Linked DNA regions of Saccharomyces cerevisiae S288C. Changing the gene in region 1 together with any one later gene gives a genetic interaction. Each region holds a gene or a part of one and is shown in the gene's direction. Other genes may lie near its edges.

Region 1 (7,357 bases):
TTTGCCCTCTTCTCTAATTCACCCAAAACATACGAATATTGAGCGATAATACCTGGTTCAGCACCCCCAGACATACTGTTAAAAGTGCCGTACGGCGACAACCTCAAACCCACCCGTTCAGGACCGATAGTTTCGATAAGAGCATCGACAACCTCCAGTGTAAAGCGGGCCCTGTTTTCGATCGTTCCGCCGTATTCGTCGGTCCTCTTATTAGAATGTGGATCCAAGAACTGATTCAACAAGTACCCATTGGCGCTATGAATTTCTACACCATCGGCGCCAGCCGCGATAGAATTCTTAGCCGCATGGATGTAATCCTTGATATACTGTTTAATGTCGTCTTTAGTCAAACTATGTTCGAGATTATTCGCATCTTTGGCCTTTTCTTGTAACGTAGCATTCATATACACTCTGTCAGATGCACAGTCATAGCGTAACCCGTCTCTTGCCAATACGTCTGGGAAGGATGCCCAGCCTAAAGACCAAAGTTGTACCCACGCGAACGACTGACAATCATGGATGGCTAAAAAGATATTCTTCCACTCAGCGACCTGCTCATCAGACCAAATCCCAGGGGCGTTGTCATAGCCGCCGGCTTGAGGGGAAATAAACGTACCTTCCGTGATGATCATGGTACCAGGTCTTTGAGCACGCTGACCATAATACACAGCAGCCCACTCCTTATTTGGAATATTTCCGGGGTGAGTGGCCCTCATTCTGGTCAATGGGGGCATAACCGCACGATGTGCAAGCTGAGTGTTACCAATCTTAATTGGTTCAAAAAGGTTTGTGTCTCTTAGGGAGATCGGCTCAAAACCTTTTACAAATGGCATCTTCTAAATTTAAACTTCGCTATACTGAACTACAGTTGTTGTATATATCAAGTACGTACTTTTTTGCATATGATGGGCAAGAATCAAGCACAGTTCACAACCCTTATATAGGTTCGAGTTGTCCTACTTACAACACTGTGCTTAGTAATGGTTATTGCGACTTTATCCTTGTTCTGAACGGAGTTATATCAGGAACGCAAACTGCTTACTAAGGAGCCCTTCTAAGGAGCCCTCCGCAAATAATAGGATCGGCAATTTCAGACGGAGGACGGAGCCGCCTAAGTGCCAAGAACATTAAAGAAGAAAGAAATAAACCTTGAGCGGCTACACGAAACAGTGGTCAAGAGTAGAATCTCTGAAACGTCGAACCCTCTTTGTCAGTTATCGCGGGCATATTCTGAGAAGAAGCAATATACAACAAACGAGCAGGACAGATTAAAATTTTCAAGGCGAGGTAAGCTGTGCCAGATCAGTGTGGGACGACGCTCAGTAGTTGGCGATCGAAGCACGTGATCAGTTTTCCACATCCGTGATTTGGCGCAAATTACCATGTGAGCGTGCGGGAATAAGCTCCTTTATTTGCGGAGCGACAAAGGAAACGAGACCATATTACCCTACCTTCCTTGTTTTATTTTACTTTTTTTTCTAATTTTAATTTTCTTCGTTCCTTCAACTGTATGTACCCTTTTTCTACCGGAAATAAGACGGTCGTAGTGTCCGCGTTTTTGGTTCTTTAACGACAAGACATCAGTGCCTTCTCGCATTTTTGTTGAATTGTATTGTATTATGCTCGATGTTTCCAGAACGATATATACATCTGAGAGTTTATATATCAACGATCATTTTCTTGTTGCAGTAAGCTATAATAGACGCGTCAAATAGTCTAACCAGTCTAAATCTCATCAGCCACACACACGTACATCGGAATATTATAGAGAACAAATGTCCTTCATTAAAAACTTGTTATTTGGAGGTGTTAAAACAAGTGAGGATCCAACCGGGCTCACAGGTAACGGGGCCTCAAACACAAACGATTCTAATAAAGGTAGTGAACCGGTAGTAGCGGGTAATTTCTTTCCTAGGACGCTTTCCAAATTTAACGGCCACGACGATGAAAAAATATTTATTGCTATTAGGGGCAAAGTATACGACTGCACAAGAGGGAGGCAGTTTTACGGTCCAAGCGGGCCATACACTAACTTTGCAGGCCATGATGCGTCGCGTGGTCTTGCATTGAACTCCTTCGATCTGGACGTTATTAAAGATTGGGATCAGCCTATCGATCCCTTAGATGATCTGACAAAAGAACAGATTGACGCACTGGATGAGTGGCAAGAGCATTTTGAGAATAAGTACCCATGCATTGGTACTCTGATTCCGGAGCCTGGCGTGAACGTATGACGATTGAGCTCCGCACATTATTTATTAATAGCAAACACCAAGGAAAGGGAAAAAGGAAGGGGCGTGGTGGACGATGATATATGTATACATATACATATCTATATTTTGAAAAAATCTTCTATATAACGGTTGTATAGAAATAATTACTTATTTATGAATTAGTACAAAATATACAAAGCATGCTGCTGTTCGGAACGTGACGAAAACAGTAGCTTAAACTGTATATTTTTTGTGATACTGTGCGGCTGAAACAGGGAACAATATCATTAGAACTGCACAAATGCTTCTCTAGGGATGCCATTCATGCTACTCTGAAAACCCTTTATGGCAACTTCATAGTTCCAGTTACTTTGCTCGGCCAACATAAACGTGTATTCTGCATTCAATTTCGTTTCCAAATGTAGTTTATTCAGCAGCTCGAGTTGTACGGGATTTAGCCGCGACTGGACATCTGGAGGTAGTTGCAAAGTGGGAGCCATGACCATGGCTCCTTGGGGTGCGCCGGGAATGCTCATCCCTCCTGGTACCACTGAAGGTTGTGGCTGCGGTGGTGTCGTTATATTTGGGTTCATGCTTGCGACCTGTGGTAGGACCGAGGCCTGTTGCTGTGGAGGCTGTGCTATTGCAATAGATGCAGTTTTCCAAGCGCCTGTGGAATACGCTCTTACAGTTAACAGATCAGATGCGATTATGACACTATTATTCATTGGAACAATTACCCAGGTTCTATCAAAGGATTTTTTGGATAACTTATTATTTGATGTGGAGTTGTAACCATGATTGTATCTTCTATTCTTTTGATAGTTATTTTTCCCCGTTTTTTTATTGGATTCCAGTTCAGGCTTGCCAGTCTCTTCAAAAAATCCGTGCAACGTAATAACGAACCCATTTATTTGAGGATAACTAATTGTTTCCATTGAGTATTCATTGGGTTGTTCTTGTAAATGGTGCTTTGTTTTCGGCAAAGTCTTGAATATACTATTAATGGACTCTTGCCCGATTGACAATCTCTGCTGGATAGATTTTTCACTGGACACTTTGGATATATTACGTGAGGACGACATGTAATAACCAAATGCTGGAGTTTGGTCCGAATCTGTTACCGTAGATGGAGGAATAGTAGAATCCACGGAAACAGAAAACTGGGATTGGGGCGAATACAAATTTAACAGTTGTTCTCTATTATTATCCCATAGATTCAAAAAGTTAGTTGCAAAGTCTGTAGATGATTGCCCTAATGCATCGTTTTCGAAAAAAAACTGTTGAATCTTCATCGGTAATGAGTAAACGGTTTGCAATTTTTGTTCGTCTCTCACAATCACGTTATCTAGTACAACCAATTTCGGAAATAATCTTAACATTTCAGTGCGATACAACTTATCGGTGGTTATCGGGTTATTTGTCATCAAAAGCTCTCTTAGATCTTTGAATTTGTTCTTCCAAACTTCTAGCGATCTAAATCTAAAAATCTGATTGTTGGCCAGACAGAGGTTTTTCAAATTAGGAAATGTTTGAGCCAATGTGGAAATTGCTGAGATGTCCTTAAGTTGGTTGTCAGCAAGATTGACACTTTCCACTATCAAACTTTTTTCTGTAGAAGCCAGTTTCATCATTGCTGGAAACATCTTAGACTGGGTGGAGATGGAACTAAAGACGCCCTTTTGAATTAGCTCGGGATCTGAATGTAAAGCGCCCAAATTTAGTAATTTTGTTTGTGGGTCATACCTCTTAAGGAGCACCCCCCTCAAGAACGAAATGGTGTCTGAAGTTCCCGCAGAGGCCCCATTGTTATCTAAAAGTTCGAACTTTAAATTACTGCCTGCAAACCGGACACCGTTCCATTTCATTAACGATTCTGCTTCTGCCTTTGAGTTGACATATCCAATAACTAAAGGTCCTTCCACATGAGCGTCATAAACAGCTACTCGAGCGTTGCGGCTTATAAAATTAATCAAATCGTTCATGGTTGCATTCTGCCAGTTCCTCACGCTAATCTTTATTCTATTTTGTTGCATCTGCTGTTGAGCCATCATATTGATATTTCCAACATTGTGAAATCCGCTCATTTTTTTTGCTGCTATTAGCGATGCAGAATTTTTAACGATTTATTTTACTCTTCCTTCTTAGAGTAAGTATGTCTTCAACAGTCTGTTACTATTTTTTTTTCTACATACTCAATTCAGCTCTTACTGAAATTTTCTTCTGGAAAAAAAAGGAAGACGGGTAATGATGATCTTATATAACAGTATAATCTGTAGGTATATTTATCGTTAGAATCCTCTACGAAAGGCAAGTGGGCATGGATTTCTAGCTTTTGAAGCCGCGTTTAAGTTTCTTCAGAATTAATATTCGTAGAAATTTTCTGTTCTTTGCTTCTTTTCTGAGCTTTGGTGGAATAAACTTGGTTCCATTCAACTTAAAGGAAGGAGGAAGTACTGTTCAAAATGACAGTTTTATACACATCTGCATCGCTGAAAAAAATGAAGTGCTTGGCATTCAACATGGGCATGAATTGCGTACGAACAGTATCTCATGCAAGAAGTGGAGGTGCAAAATTTGGAGGACGGAATGTATTTAATATATTTGACTCAAAAACTCCTGATTCAGTGCGTATAAAGGCCTTCAAAAACACAATATACCAGTCTGCCATGGGCAAAGGTAAGACCAAGTTTTCTGCAATGGAAATTAATCTCATAACAAGTCTAGTGCGCGGATATAAAGGAGAAGGTAAGAAGAACGCGATAAATCCTCTCCAAACTAACGTGCAAATTCTTAACAAATTATTACTAACACATCGATTAACAGACAAAGACATATTAGAAGGAATGAACCTGGCAGCCGGTCCTGTCAATGTTGCTATTCCTCGAGACATAACACCGCAGGAAGAAAAGAAGAAAGTTGAACTAAGAAATCGAAAAGCAGAGAATATGGATCTTCACCCGAGCAGGAAGATGCATATTAAGGAACTTCTACACTCTTTGAACTTAGATATGTGTAATGATGAGGAGGTTTATCAGAAAATATCACTTTACTTACAGAAAAATGAGGAAAGCAGGACTTCAGTGGGTGCCTCGCAACAAAACCACGTAGATATCGATATAAACTCCCTAAAACGCTATCTACAAAATATTGAAAAGAAGGCACGTCAAAAAAGTGCCATCGATAAACAAAAAAAGAATCAAGCTCGTATATATCAATGGAATACTCAATCCTTCTCCGAAATAGTACCCTTATCAGCTGGAAATATCTTATTCAAAAGGGAACCCAATCGCTTATGGAAACGTTTACAAAATGGAATAAGTGTATTTTTAGGTTCAAACGGAGGAGGAAAAAAGAGTAAAACTACTAAAAAAGTACTTCAAGGGAATAACATATTGTTACACTCATTAGAAAACAATAAGGATATGACCCTGTCAAACAACTTTGATCACAGTGTCTTTAACATCAATTTTACGGACTTATTTGGCGTTATTAATGCATCTGGGTCCCCACCAGATAGAGTTTTGAACGAAATTAATGAGATCGAATTAAAAGGTTGGAAATGTGTGGGGAACTTATACGATAATAATAAAATTGTAGTTTTTCAAAGTAGCAATCCACTCTTAGAGGATACGAAGATTCCTCAAAAGTCTTTCACTAATTCAAAGAGATTCCTTATTTCACTCTCAGCATTGCTGGCCTCCTTTTTTGCATATTATAGATACCGTCTATCTCAACGTCAAGAATCAAAGAAATGATTTTTTTCTTTCTTGTATATAACAACGTTATACATAGAAACAAATAACTACTCATCATTTTGCGAGACATATCTGTGTCTAGATTACCAATCATTTAGAGATATTAATGCTTCTTCCCTTTGAACAGATTGATTATCTCTCAAGTATCTTTCTGCTTTGACACGAGAGTAAAATACTGGACAGTCATATGAATTGCATTTACTAGCTATATGGTCATTTTCGATGCCTGCATCGGAAGTGTAACGATAACTGCACGTCCTGCACACGGTCTTTAGTGTTTGGTATTCTTTTTGTCTCTTTAATTTCTTTATGAGAAATGATAAGGTTGTGGTGCTTCTTTTCTCTAAACAGTCATCACATAACTGAAGTGAACATATTTTAGTCAATTCTTCACCACAATTACAACATGTTGCAGAAGTTCCTACTCTTGTTATGTTTTCCACTTTTGTAGTAGTTGTGCTCGCCCTTTTGGATTTTACTATTTCCTGAGCCCAGTTGCCAACATTTATACCAATCAAATTGAACAATCTATCAAGAGGAGGTATCAGAATTTTGTTTATATAATACTCCGAATCTAACTCTAAATTCTCACCTTCTAAGAACTCTTCTGGTGATACGCATCTTTCCCGAAGCAGTTGTCCTTGCTTTCCTTTAACAACAAGGTAAGGTATACGCTCCTTGTATTGGGGTTCTGCTCTATGGTCTTCATTTATTCTTCTTTTTACAACCACGGCACCTGCAGGGGCTGTCTTTTCGCTTTTATACGCTCCTAATTTAACTTCTTTTGCAAAACAAAAATCTTGGGCAGATACCTTTCCTATTTGAATCTTAAAAAATTCATTTTGAAGATACTTTTTTATTTTTGACAGGTCTTTGGTTTGAAAAAGTAATCGAATACATTTTTCAATAATCTTCTGCTGGGCTGGGATACCATCCCTTCTAACAGTTTCAATACCCTTAGCATCAAAAATAGGAAGGGTCTGCGAAGGACTTTCATAGGAAAATCCTACGTACCTTTTTTTGCTAATTAATATGGAGGGATGGTATACTTTTTCAAACTTCAAAAAGATTGGTTTTGGATTGTTTTGAGTAACTCTTTCTGCCATAGCATGTCCTATAGAAAAAGCCTCAATAGCAGTTTTTCCAGGTAGATATACAAATAAACTATCTGTGTCTCCATAGACAACTTTGGCGTTCCAAGTTTCATCTTTCTCAATAATATCTATTGCTTTCTCCAATGTTTCTCTGCCTGTTTGTACAATGCTATCAGCTAAATCAGAGCATGGCATTCGTCCAGAAAATGAAGCTGATGTATAACCGTAGGTGACATTCGCCAATAATTTTAGTGCTAACTGTTTGTTATTCAAAAGCCTTTTTAGGGTAGTG
Region 2 (5,355 bases), on another chromosome or scaffold:
TTACAGAAACCACATTCTGATTGAAAATATGCTTATTCTTTTCAGTGAGTATATTCTCCAAAGCCCTCTCTGTAGCTTGTGAAAACAATACGCCATCAGATTTGCGGAAACTCAATTGCACGAATTCTGTCGATGATCCTGTCGAGGACGAGGACGATAATGCCGAGTGCGAGCTCTTGTTTCTAGCCAGTGAATTTTTTTCTAGCTCAATATGGACCCTAGAATCATGAAAGTTTAGCCTGTTCAGCTTTGATCGTACTTTGGATGCATTAGGCAATCTGTGGCCGCAAATCTCGCAATTTCCTATTTGAGGATGATTAGCAAAAGTACAGGCGGGGCAAATGTTCTCAGAGTTCACTCCGAACTGATTCTGTGGGTTGGCGTTCGGGTCGATTGCATTAGAACAATTTATAGACGACTTGGTGAGCTCATAGTCCGCTGGCACACCGCAATTGATACAAATGGGTGTAGGTAGAGTGTCTTTAGTGAATTCCCCCTGCGTTTCGTTCGAAACCATACAGATGGGGCAGACCCACGTCGAAACAACGTCGGCACTTGCTGTTTCCGCACTTTTACCAAGTTCATCCTTACTGGAGGGGTCCTTGAAAAACAGGATCAGACGAGGTGATCTGGTCAAGAAGCCAGATGAATAGTTTACATACGCTAGATCGTCCAATTCCAACCCAAGCGAGTTCTGAGTGGGCTTTGCATCGTCGATGTAGATAATTCTTTGTGACGTTAAAAAGATTCTGCCCCTCTGTCGCTGTAGAATCTTAGATTTGCCATGGTAAAGACCTACGGACTGATCGATAAAGATATCTTTTTCACCTTCTCGAAGAAGAGGTTGGCCCGATGACGTAGTTTCCACATAATGCCAGTACTCCATCTTTTGAAAAAAAAAGAATGACTTTCAAAACACACTTCCTGATTCCTAGCCGAGGTCCCCTATTCTATCTTGGATGACCTTTTCTCTGCTTTTTTGTTTTTCAGTCTCCATCTTTTCCAGATGAAACATGTGAAACCCTTTTTCCTCTTCGTTGATCCTAAAAAAAGCGCGTCTGGAAAACAAGGCGAAGCTTCCTCACATGGAAAAGGCTTCTTAATATGTCGCTACGCCTCATTCCCATTGCATACAGAAAGCAAAGTAGTGCGTTTTGCGAACGTCACAGATCAAAAGTTTGGCCATGCATTGTCATTCTTTTTTTCTTACATACACTGCACCAGACATGTCGGTTCCGCCCCGCTAACGGTTAGTCAGCCACACATTGACGTACACTGTGAACAGCCTATTTCTTTCCATGTATCTCAGTGCCCAGCTTATGAGAACTGTCACAGCCTCCCACTTGACCCTCAGAGCCCTCTCCACTCCCCCCCTCTTTCAACATCGCCAGATAGCCGCCGTTGAATGGTGCGGGACAACCCGGCCTGGCCTGGCCAGGCAAAAAAGGACGCAGCACGCCTCGAGCGTTATTTCCAAATCGGGCGTACTATCAGCCAAGCCCAGCTCGGTATTTTTAGCGCTTCTCGCAGGAAAATTGGCTGAGAAGTATATATACGCGAGAATGTTGCTCTTCCATGTCTCAGTAGTCAATGAGTGTCCAGTGGTGTTTCATTCTGGACCAGTTGTTTGGAAGTAGAACTAAAAGAAACTAGATCAAGATCATACAACGCTGCGCAGTAGTGAAACTTGATTAAAGCAATAGAGAACTATTAAGAAAAAAACAAACACATCATCGAAGGACGCTATAAGCATGAGGAATTTTTTCACGTTATTTTTTGCAGCTATATTTTCGCTAGGAGCACTTATATTAGCCATTGTTGCATGCGCAGGATCAACGAAAAATTACAGTCCCATAAATAAAATTTACTGTGCAGAATTGGATCTGTCGCAGATGAAGGTATCGACGGTGCTCCCTTCTTTGAGTTCTGCTACGCTATCTTCGTTGGGCCTGCCCTCATATATAAATATAGGGCTTTGGTCGTACTGTACAGTGGACTCCTCGCATAACATCCAATCATGTTCTTCGCCTCACGGTATCCAGAATTTTAACCTATCGTCATTAGTGTATGACAATATCAACAACAATGAGGCTCTGGAGCTTATGGATTCCGTGGCCAGTGTTGTTTTGCCCGAAAAACTAAAAAGTAAAATGACATACTACAACAATTTGGTCAAGTGTATGTTCATTACCATTCTTATTGGTATTGTCTTGACCTTTGTGAATCTAGTGTTCAACGTATTGCGCTGGATCATCCACATAAGGCCGCTAACGTGGTTTGGTGCCTTTTTTTCATTTTTCGCCTTTGCCGCCCTATTAGTCAGTATAGGTTCGTGTTTGGGCACTTACTCATACATCAAATACATCCTAAAGCATAACTATAGTGATTACGGTATTTCAATGAGCATTGGTAGGAACTACCAGGGTTTGATGTGGGGGGCTGTCGTTGGAGCATTACTGAATTTCATTCTATGGTGTAGCGTGAGATCGAGGCCCACCGTCATCTATGCGAACGCTCCAATTGAGGAAAAACCATTGATTTGAATTTGAAAAAGGCAAGGTTATTAATTAATTTTTGTGTTCCGTTTCATATTAAATATGATTAAAATATATTGTCTATATACAATTCAGAAAATTATAATGAAGAAAATTAAAAGGATGGAGAATTGAAAAAATTTACGGGGTGATGTTGCATGATCTTCTTTTTATTATTTTACCTTGCAAAGTTTTTTTCAGCATCAATGGGGCTTTCGTGTTCTTCAATGATTCTTGAGGTAGTAGAGTCACTTTCTTGAACAGCTTTCTCAGCTTCCACGATGGCAGCTCCCTTTCTGCTGCTCCACCAGCAGTATGCAATGCAGAGAAATACAAGGACGGCAAATACAAATCCAGACCACATTAGGCCATAAAATGGAGAAGAGCCAGAAATAATGACATCGTAATTGTCCTTCTTGGAGCCGGATTTCATCATATTAAGGATGACGCTAAAGATTGTGCTTCCCAACCCGCTGAAAATACATATCCAACAGGAAATAAAGCCCAATGCCAACCATAATTTTTGACTCACCACGGAACGTCTACTTAGTAGCAACAAGAATACCATTAAGAAGAAGGATGTGATTATGCACATTAAGTTCATAGCTAAAGCTGCTTTCACTGCTGGGACATACATGTGTTGTCTGTCTTGTAATTCACCATCTAAATGCAAATCGTCCTTACCGATGTTCAGGGCATCCATATAAGGTTTAAAGTCCGAGCCTTCAATGTTGTTGTAAACAATCGACCGGAAATCCATGTTTTGAACAGCGTGTGACTTGCTACACGAGTACATTGTTCTGTTTAAGTGAGCACGACACATTGTGAAAATGGACAAACGGTATATGACAGGGATGTGTAGATATTCAAGGATAGAAGGAGTCATTTCCTTGAGTTGTTCTGGTGTGATAGTTGTCATGTTTACAGCAGAGTTTAAAATTTTCAACATGGGCATAAATGTAGCGGCATTAGTTTCTGCCCATTTGGTGATATTAACCAGAGAAGAGAAACTTGACACGGGGTCGCTTGACGCAGCTAATAGGCTGAACAAGTATGGAACGTACTTAAGTAATACGGTGTTATTGGCCAATTGGGATTCCAAAGTAGGGATTATGGAAACAACTGTGGATGCGTTAGCACTTGCAGAAAGGATTTCATCAAGTGCCACCAATTGGTTAGTAGAGGAAGCGGCTTCTTTAGAGAGGGCCAAACTTTCGACAGATGTTAGCAGCTCTGTTTGGTTTGTAGTGTAATTCAACAAGTCAGTCAAAGCACCCATGGCAGCTTTAGCGGAAGATGATTGGGTAATGTTTTCGGCAATCATAGTGCTCAATACGGATAATGTTACATTTTGAGATGTAGTTTCATCAAACAGAGTAACAACAGCTTGGACAGCTGGTTTTAAACTCGAAGGAACGAGGGAGCCTAATTGCATAATAGTTTCAGTAGCATTGCCACCTTCCGCAAGACTGGTTTTTAGACTAGAAAACAATGAGGAGACCGTTGAAGTTGGAATGGTAGAGTTCATTATGGTTTCTAACGCATCGCATGTGGCAGTAATGTTCTTGGAACTTGCGAATAACTCGAATACAGGCGACAATTTTGTCTTTTCTTCTGTGGTCATATTATTTAAAGTGATCAAAGACTCAGTAGTGCCTATAGGATTGGTCGAATCCACTAATAGGGTTAGAACAGTATTTTCTAAGGAAGCCGAAGTAGAAGAAGTGTTGGTTGACATAGATGACATCAATGTGCTAAACCCATCCAAGAGTTCGGTTGTGTTTTTAGAGGTAGTCAATAACTCATCAAGAGCGGAGAAGGTCGTGGTAGTAGCGGTATTGGTTCCTAGCAAAGCCATTGGAGCCAACTGTGTCAAAGATGATAATGTGGCTGAAGTGTTAGCAGCATTAGACAACAAGTGCAGTAAAGGAGACAAGGCTTCGGTAGAAGCGATTGCCTTAAGAGCGCCGAAGATGGTATCCACCGTTGTATTTGGAGCGGTTAGAGCAGAACCTAACACAGTCAAAATTGGGCCAACTTGTGGCATAACTTTTGTAACGTTGATTTTTGATATATCAGCATCACCGATATAAATGTTCGTTATTGGCTTATAATTTGAGGTAGAACCCGCAGTTGCAATAATGGTCAACAGAAATGTTGTAAGTGTCAATAAAGCACAAATCGGGAGGAGTATTTTAAAATTCATCGCAATAATTTGACTGTATTACTGAATTTTTATTTTACTGTATCAGCATCGCATCTACAAGCTATTATGAAGTAAATGAAAATCTCAAGGCTTAATGTGAGTAAATGCAGCTAGATTGTCAAAGGTTTATATATTTTGTCGTTCTTTTTACAGGAAAAAAAAATTCTGTGTAGAAGTGTAAGATCTATGATTGCAGCAGCTTGAAAAGCGATAAGTTTGTTGAGGATTTAACAATTTCAACTTTTTTTTTAAGCAGAACAATAGATTGACGTAGTTAAATTTGTCTACTAAGATCTGTAGGCAAGTTTTTTTTTTCCAGGGACGACGCCGTATAGAAAAAAGCAACTAGGGAATTTACCAGGCCATAATGCGGTGGATTCAAGCTAAACGAGTACTGAGGGGAACTTTAATCTTCAAGGCGGTATCCAGGCGGATTTACGAAGCAACTGACGGAGTGCTGCAGGAATTTAAAGGAGAGTTCTGGAGCGCTTAAATGCACCTAAACAGTATCCACGGAACATACTGTACTAAATACACGTCAAACGGGAACATTTCAAAAAAAACTTAATAATATAACTCAGTTTTTTTACATAGTGATAAAAGTGATATATTCAA
Region 3 (8,088 bases), on another chromosome or scaffold:
ACCTGTACTCCTTTCTTGGTGTCTTGAAATCGATTTGATTTCTAATGGCATCATAAAGATTAACTTGTCCGTAAATCATGTTCTCCCAAGTTGGAGATGAAGAGTCCTCGAAATCAGTCATATATGTCGTTACTTCAGCATTCAAAGCGTTGACTAACATATTTCTCAATGGTGGCCCAGTAATCTCGCTGGATCTGTTGATCAAACCAGGGGCTGGGATAGCACCTTGCCATGTAGGATCGTTCCTGATTTGTTCGGTTTCCGGCAAGAAATCAAATCGGTATTCACCAGAGTCTAACTTTGATTGTAAATTGCTTCTGTTGGCTAAAAGCTGTTTCCGTGTTGAATTGAAAGTTCTATGCAGCAAAACAATGAACTCTAAGGCATCTTTTGTTAAAATATCAGCTACAGTAGTTTTGGAAGGTTCAAATTGAGGAGTCGTGTCGATGTCTGCGTATAGAGCAGTGTTGTCCAAGCTTATCTTCACCATTGTTCAGTGCTCTTTACCGTGCCTATGACACATACTCTAAGTGATATCAACTGCACAGAAAGTGAAGAATTAAGACTACATGCGTAAATGTCCCCATTTTATACTTATTGCTTCACCAATTGACGAAACTATCCAATCTTTGTGATACTTTCACGATGTACCTTATCCAAGATAAGCCAAAACTTATGAAATTCAATTTATGTGATAAGAAAAGCAAACGCAATTTTCCAAAATCCGCGGTATTCTATCGCACCGCAACTTTCAGCGGAGATTTTATGTCGATAATCGTAAACCTATGAAATTACTAATACATGAACATTTACATATTTACTTCGCCCACAGTCGCAGAATTAGATGATAATACAAACGTCGCCATCGCTGTAGTGTTCTTCCACACAGTCCTTCTCGGGCCTGTCAGGGTCCAGACTTTCGTAGATTAAGACTGAAAAATCCAAATGTTCTTCCTTGCCAAGTACTATCATGGGCGCATGCCAGGTACCTAAGCCATAGGTAACGGCCTGATTACCCAAACATGTAAAAGCCCTCAACGTAGACAAGTCTGGCTTATTTCCAATTTCTTTAGCGACTACTACCAAGTATGCTACTTCCGCTGACGTTCTCCCCATAGGCACAAACGTCTGCGTACTACACGGATGCTTTTCGAGGACTTTGATAGAATGAGAAATCGCCTGATTGGAGCCTTGAGTGAATACTCTATTCAGGTGCGGCTGTGGAAAGCAACGGAATAGGTTCCAATTGGGAACTTTACTGGTAGATTTATTCTCTACCTGGCTTACTTGAAGCAATTTGATCGCTGTTCCCTGGTTTGCACCTTTTTCAAGGTTTTGCATCCTTGAAATCTCTTCATCTGGCGAAATTATCGTCCCATACTCCTCGAAGGACTCTTTCGTCAATGTCTCCGCCACCACGGTCACCATATCTTTGCTTCAAAGATTTTTTGCCCTACAAGATAAGCATCAAGAGCGATTGGATGACAGTTACTGACTTATATATGCGAATGCACATGAATAGACCGCATATGCTTCTTATCAGTCTTACCTCGCTTATCTTTCCCCATTTATTTGCCAATCCATCTTATCTTATCTGGCACTTTGTCTCAGGGTTAGTGTTACAAAAAGGCTAGGACTTATTTCCAAAATTCTACTTTTGAAAATAACCCTAACAATAAAAGCAAGGGCATTCTGATGTTACCCTAGAAATGTCGTATTTCTTTTTATATCGTGGATCATGACAAAAAACTCAACATTTTCAAATGGGTGAGCTCTAAACCAGAAAATACAGCCGCCGAAAGCCTTTTAAAAGGACAGCGGCGCTTGATCAACAGTCGTTCTTGGGGTCGTTAAGACTAGATCCTGCTTCCCCCCCTTATTGTGCATTTAAAGGCACTTATTGAAGGTCATTTTGGCGAACAGAACATTTCGTTATGCAGCAGAACAGTGAGTTCTTAACGGAAACACCTGGAAGCGACCCTCATATATCTCAATTGCACGCGAATAGCGTAATGGAATCACAGCTCTTGGACGATTTCCTCCTGAACGGGTCTCCCATGTACCAGGATGATAGCATGGCGCATATTAATATTGATGAGGGTGCTAATTTCCAAAATTTTATCAAGACAGATGAGGGTGATTCGCCCAACCTGTTGTCTTTCGAAGGTATCGGTAACAATACTCATGTCAACCAAAACGTGTCCACTCCACTGGAGGAGGAAATGGAAAGTAACAGAGCCTTGAAGGAGGAAGAAGAGGACGAGCATGAAAATAAGGTTTTTAATGAAAAAAATATAGGCAACCCTGCTCATGACGAGATTGTATTTGGAAGAAAGGAGACGATTCAATCTGTTTACATAAATCCTTTAGATTACCTTAAAGTGAACGCAGCGCAGCTACCTTTGGATGTAGAGGTCTCAGGTTTGCCACAAGTATCTAGAGTGGAAAATCAACTGAAACTGAAAGTGAAAATTACGTCTGAAACACCACTAAACCAAAGCATGCTTTACTTGCCTAGCGATTCCATTTCAAGAGAAAAGTTTTATTTAAAAAAAAATATCGAGGATTTTTCAGAAGACTTCAAGAAAAATCTTCTGTACATCAATGCGTTTGTTCTATGTGCGGTCAGCAACAGAACGACAAATGTTTGTACCAAGTGTGTTAAGCGAGAACAAAGAAGAGCCGCTAGAAGGAAATCAGGTATTGCAGACAATTTACTCTGGTGTAATAATATTAATAGAAGGTTAGTCGTGTTCAATAACAAACAGGTTTTCCCCATAATGAAAACTTTCGATAATGTTAAGGAGTTTGAATTAACTACCAGGCTAGTTTGTTATTGCAGGCACCATAAGGCAAATAATGGCTTTGTCATATTATTCACTATAACAGATTGGCAAAATAGACTGTTGGGTAAGTTTACGACAACACCTATTATGATCACGGATAGAAAACCAGCAAATATGGATACCACCAAGTTTAATAACACTACTACCTCGTCCAGAAGGCAGCTAACGGAAGAAGAATCTACCACAGAATATTATTCAACGGATAACAACCAATTGAGCAAAGACGAAAATATGCCATTTCAATATACTTATCAACACAACCCATATGATAATGACAGTCAAATGAATAATATTCCACTGAAAGACAAAAACGTACCATTCCCATATTCCATCTCTCAACAGACAGATTTGCTTCAGAACAATAACTTATCACTGAACCTTTCTCTGCCCAATCAGCATATTCCATCACCAACATCTATGAGCGAAGAAGGCTCAGAATCATTTAACTATCATCATCGCGATAATGACAATCCCGTCCGTACTATCTCTTTGACAAATATTGAACAACAGAGTCAATTGAACCAACGGAAAAGAGCACGCAATAATTTGGAAAATGACATTGGTAAACCCCTATTCAAGCATTCCTTTTCAAATTCAATCAGTGCAACAAATACGATGAATCCAGCTTTACATTCAATGCAAGATTTCTCAATGAAAAACAACAACAATAATTTGCCATCAATTAATCGCGTTATACCTTCACAAGGCCCAATCAATGGTGGTATCGAAGTTACATTACTGGGTTGTAACTTCAAAGATGGTCTTTCTGTAAAGTTCGGCTCTAATCTTGCCCTTTCTACGCAATGCTGGAGTGAGACCACGATCGTCACTTATCTCCCTCCCGCTGCCTACGCGGGTCAAGTTTTCGTCTCTATTACTGATACGAATAATGAAAATAATAACGATGACCTTCCCCAAGAAATTGAGATCAATGACAATAAAAAGGCCATATTTACCTATGTTGATGATACTGATAGGCAACTGATTGAATTGGCTTTGCAAATTGTGGGATTAAAAATGAATGGTAAGTTAGAAGATGCAAGAAATATCGCGAAGAGGATTGTTGGCAATGATTCTCCTGATAGCGGTACAAATGGCAACAGCTGTTCAAAAAGCACAGGTCCCTCTCCAAACCAACACAGTATGAATCTGAACACAAGTGTTCTTTACTCCGATGAAGTCTTGATACAAAAAGTTATAAAATCATTGAACATAAATTCCAATATTTCCATATGTGATTCATTAGGGAGAACTTTATTACATCTTGCCTGTTTGAAAAATTACTCAAGCCTTGTGTATACATTGATTAAAAAGGGTGCTCGTGTTAACGATATTGATTCCTTTGGGCTAACTCCATTACATTTTGCTTGCATAAGTGGTGACCCTAAAATTATTAAGATGCTTTTAAATTGTAAAGTAAATTATTCACTGAGGTCACACAACGGATTAACTGCAAGAGAAGTATTCATAGCAAACCACATTCATTCAAAGGAAATAGACAAAAAACAAGATAACAGAGACAACCATAAGTTTGTTCATAATGACACTTATATCAGCGAAGTATTGTCATTGTTTGAAGAATTCCAAAACGGTACGAAGTTTACCGATAGTGTAGAAACAGACAGTAATTATTCTATTAGCAGGAAATATTCACAATCCAGTTTCAATTCAAGCCTGCTAGACAATGAATCTTTGAATGAGAACTTATTCGAAAGCCAAAGCATGATAAATCCCACTTCTATGGAGATTCAGCATCCAACCTTGCAACTATTTGAGAATTCAAGTTACTCTGAGTACGACCAAAGTGATTTCGAAGAAGACGGGGATGAAGATCTGTTCGTCACTGACGAAGTAGAAAAACCAGGTGTTGCATGCAGGGAGGAACAAAGCGAACTCCTTGATATTGGATCTAGCGCCAACGAACCCGAAGAGGATAATGGTAGTACATCTCTCTGGAATAGAGTTTTACATCGAATTAATGATGACTTACCAAAATATGAGGATCTGTTCCCGTTGTCTTGGGGTAAAGATGATAAATTGAAAACCACAAATCAAGACAGTATTGTGGAGCAGTCAGCATCTAATATTGAAAACTCTGAAAATTCGGAGGAAGAGGATTATGAGGAAGAGGAAGAATTTTTGAAAAAACAGTTTAACAGATTCTTCCAAAACAAACAAAACTTCCGAAATGATAAAATGTTAATATTTTTCTGGATACCCTTAACACTACTACTTTTGACATGGTTCATCATGTACAAATTTGGCAACCAAGATAGTTCCATCAATCATATAAGCGAATTAATCTCAGAGTACTTGAGAATTGCATTAGCAAAGTTCTTGCTGGGAAATGAAAGGATGAAAACTGCATTCAGGTCAAAATTATCAAACCTGCAAACAACAAGAATGTTGAACGATTTAATTGTCAGTTAGTCTGCTTTTTTACGTATATATATATATATATGTGTGTATAATGAAAAGACAGTACACTTAAAAGAAGAGAAAGTCATTTAAAAAAAGTCAAAAAAAAATTAAACTTGTAAATGTCAGCGTAACGATAATGTATATACTTTAAATGTAAACTACAATCTTGAAGATCTTTTAACACGAGCGCAATGTCTATCGAACAATTTCTTGGCTCTAACCCAGACAGGAGCAGTTTTTCTTTGAGGTAGGAGCTCTAAAGATGGTAAGAGATCATGAGAGAAAAATTCTGAAGCTTCTCTTGGCAGCAAAGAAGGCAAGTGATCAATAGAGATGACAGATAATTTAGGCCCGGCAGTGGTAGGTACCAGAACGGTAGGTTTGTTAAACACAGTAGCCACAGTGTATATTGGGATGGGGTTGTGAGGGTTGGTAGTGTCTGCTGATACGTCCACCACGGTCCTTAGTCTTCTGTTAGGATTATTCAGTTTCTCCATGTTAGTGAAAGGAGCAATTGGCTTCGATAGATATATACAATTGATAAAAATATCAGCTTGTGGAATTTCGTCAAAGGGACCACCACGGGAAGTTTCTTTGATATCCCATTTTAATATGTTAGCATCTGGAATACCAACTTTGTGCAACAGATCGATGGCACCGGAACCACATCTTCCTAGCGCACCAATGATTAACACGGTTGGCTTTCTGGCTCCGGTGGCTAAGGCTTCTTTATAATCTTTGGTAACATCTTTAACCAATGCCTTTTCATTGGGGTAAGGCGACACTGCAGGCAAGTCTTCATCGTCAGAATGCGTTTGCTTGAATGCCCAGTCTCTTACACCAAGGGCTGCACCTGCGAACCCAGCGTAAAATCCAAAGGCAGCAACTCTTCTACCTTGGTCATTTTCCAAAAATTCCAAATCATATAGAGTACCGTGTCCCTTAATAAATCTCATAAGGACATTTTGCCACCCAGCTTGGTCTTTGTAGCAGTGAGCAAACTGGATGTGTTCGTGGACTAGAGGGAAAGTATCGGTTTCAGGCATTTCCTTCAAACCTATAATGATTCTGTCGCGTGGAGCGGTTTTCCATGAACCTGCAGGCACTATAATGGCACCTGCTTGACGATATTCGTTAATATTGAAAGTAGATTGTGGACTGTCCTCTACATATATTTTGAAGCCCTTAGCTATCAGTTTTTTAACCGTGGTAGGTGTTAAGGCAGCACGTGCCTCTAGGGGTTTAGTTTCAGCTCTTAGATGTAATGTGACGGCAGCCATTTTTGCGGTTGTGTGAAAAATAAAGCGTTTTCGTTGTTATCTTATGGTATGCCTCCTAAAATACCAGTTTCCGTCAGGGAAGATGGGCTTTTTATATATTTCATCGTGGTTTCTCGAGGATGACTTTATGACTCTTTGTCGCTGAAATCGCAGGGGAATTTTGGCGGTTGAGAGCGGAATTCCAAATTCCGCTGGAAAAAAAAAATAATAATGCAAAATGTATAAATGTATAAGAGTCTTTTTTGACTCATCGACTTAGTATGTAACAATTTATATGTACCTGCTATCCTCAAGGCATAAAGTCCGCCAAGGCAGGGTCATTATAGCTCAAGTACTGTCCATTAACACCGTCAGGAATACCATGAAGGGCCAATTTGGCATAAACTGTAGCTGGCACAGAGCTATCCAGCAACTGGTTATTCTCCTTTAAACCTCTAAACATCTTCAATTGCTCTGCACTCATGGAGGAAGGCCCCACGTTCTCCCTAATGTTAACTTGCATATCTGTGTCCACAATACCTGGGGCGACGGCAATGGCTTTCACTTGCCTTTCCTCGTTGGCCAGAGTCATGGCGAAGTGGTTCAGAGCGGCTTTTGAAGAACCGTAAGCTCCCCAACTGCTGAAGTACATGTTACAGGCGTCCGAACTGACGAATACCACGTTACCGTTGGTCTTCTTCAATTCAGGTAACGCAATGCCAACCAAGGAAACAATGCTGAAGAAGTTGATGTCATACAGCTTCTTCCAAGCGTTGACATCAATCTCGTTGACATTTTGCACGGGCTCTAGGACACCAGCGTTGGCAACCAAGGAGTCGATCTTGCCGTGGCCCTTAACAGCAGCGTTAACCAACTGCTTCAACACGGAATCCTCGGTAATATCACCGACAACGTAAAAAAACCTGTCGCCATACTTCTCTTTCAACTTCTTCAAGGGTGCCTCAGACCTGGCTACACCGTAAACAACCGTGTCCTTGTCCAAACTGAAAAGAACATCCACGATGGACTTACCGATACCTCTGGAAACACCTGTAACTAAAATAACTTTACCCATGTTTTTTTAACCTGTTACACGCTGTAGTTAGACCCTTTTTTTTAGGTACAATATTCTTCCATTGCACTTGATCTTTTTCGTTTACGTATATATATGCAAAAGTTAATGTTCATACTGTCTTCTCTTCATTTCTTTGAAAACACCGCGGAATTCCTTCGGTGATACATTCAATCCGGTTCTTGGCACAGAAATGGCCGCACAAAACTGTCGCTCATCGCAAACCCAATAAAAGTTTAGTAGCTAAAAACTATAACTATACCCTTTTACATAATATAGTTTAGTACTAGCCCTGCACCGGCCCCAGTCGCTCATCGTTGTAGCGGAGATATTGACCGTTCAAAGAGTCGGGAATACCTTTCAGGACGAGTTGCGCTAGTACCGCCGCAGGCACCTTTGGGTCCAGCAGTGACGAAGTCTTGTACAATTGAGTAAACCTCTCGAGAGCCTTGGGTGTCATGCCCTGAGGACCCAATGTTTCCCTAATATC

What was found. Genes that interact genetically often act in the same process or in processes that back each other up.
Region 2: mutations in DAP1 (region 1) and PUN1 together harm fitness more than expected from each alone (negative genetic interaction), as found in Saccharomyces cerevisiae (2 studies listed by BioGRID).
Region 3: mutations in DAP1 (region 1) and MGA2 together harm fitness more than expected from each alone (negative genetic interaction), as found in Saccharomyces cerevisiae (2 studies listed by BioGRID).

The regions. Positions count from the first base shown.
Region 1 is NC_001148.4:226,539-233,895, forward strand, and holds DAP1 (Dap1p), read left to right. Parts: upstream 1-1,775; coding exon 1,776-2,234; downstream 2,235-7,357. Other genes in the region: OYE3 (NADPH dehydrogenase), read right to left, coding at 1-833; MEX67 (Mex67p), read right to left, coding at 2,501-4,300; MRX4 (Mrx4p), read left to right, coding at 4,679-5,971; REV3 (DNA-directed DNA polymerase), read right to left, coding at 6,055-7,357.
Region 2 is NC_001144.5:950,541-955,895, reverse strand, and holds PUN1 (Pun1p), read left to right. Parts: upstream 1-1,751; coding exon 1,752-2,543; downstream 2,544-5,355. Other genes in the region: ESCRT-II subunit protein VPS36, read right to left, coding at 1-886; YLR415C (uncharacterized protein), read left to right, coding at 1,299-1,637; INA1 (Ina1p), read right to left, coding at 2,713-4,740. UniProt on the Saccharomyces cerevisiae protein: Contributes to the wild-type cellular response to nitrogen stress through signaling pathways that regulate the expression of genes involved in amino acid biosynthesis. Required for wild-type filamentous growth, cell growth, and cell-cell adhesion.
Region 3 is NC_001141.2:414,190-422,277, forward strand, and holds MGA2 (Mga2p), read left to right. Parts: upstream 1-1,934; coding exon 1,935-5,276; downstream 5,277-8,088. Other genes in the region: malate synthase DAL7, read right to left, coding at 1-490; DAL3 (ureidoglycolate hydrolase), read right to left, coding at 841-1,428; LYS1 (saccharopine dehydrogenase (NAD+, L-lysine-forming)), read right to left, coding at 5,426-6,547; NRE1 (sepiapterin reductase family protein), read right to left, coding at 6,837-7,601; sepiapterin reductase family protein IRC24, read right to left, coding at 7,885-8,088.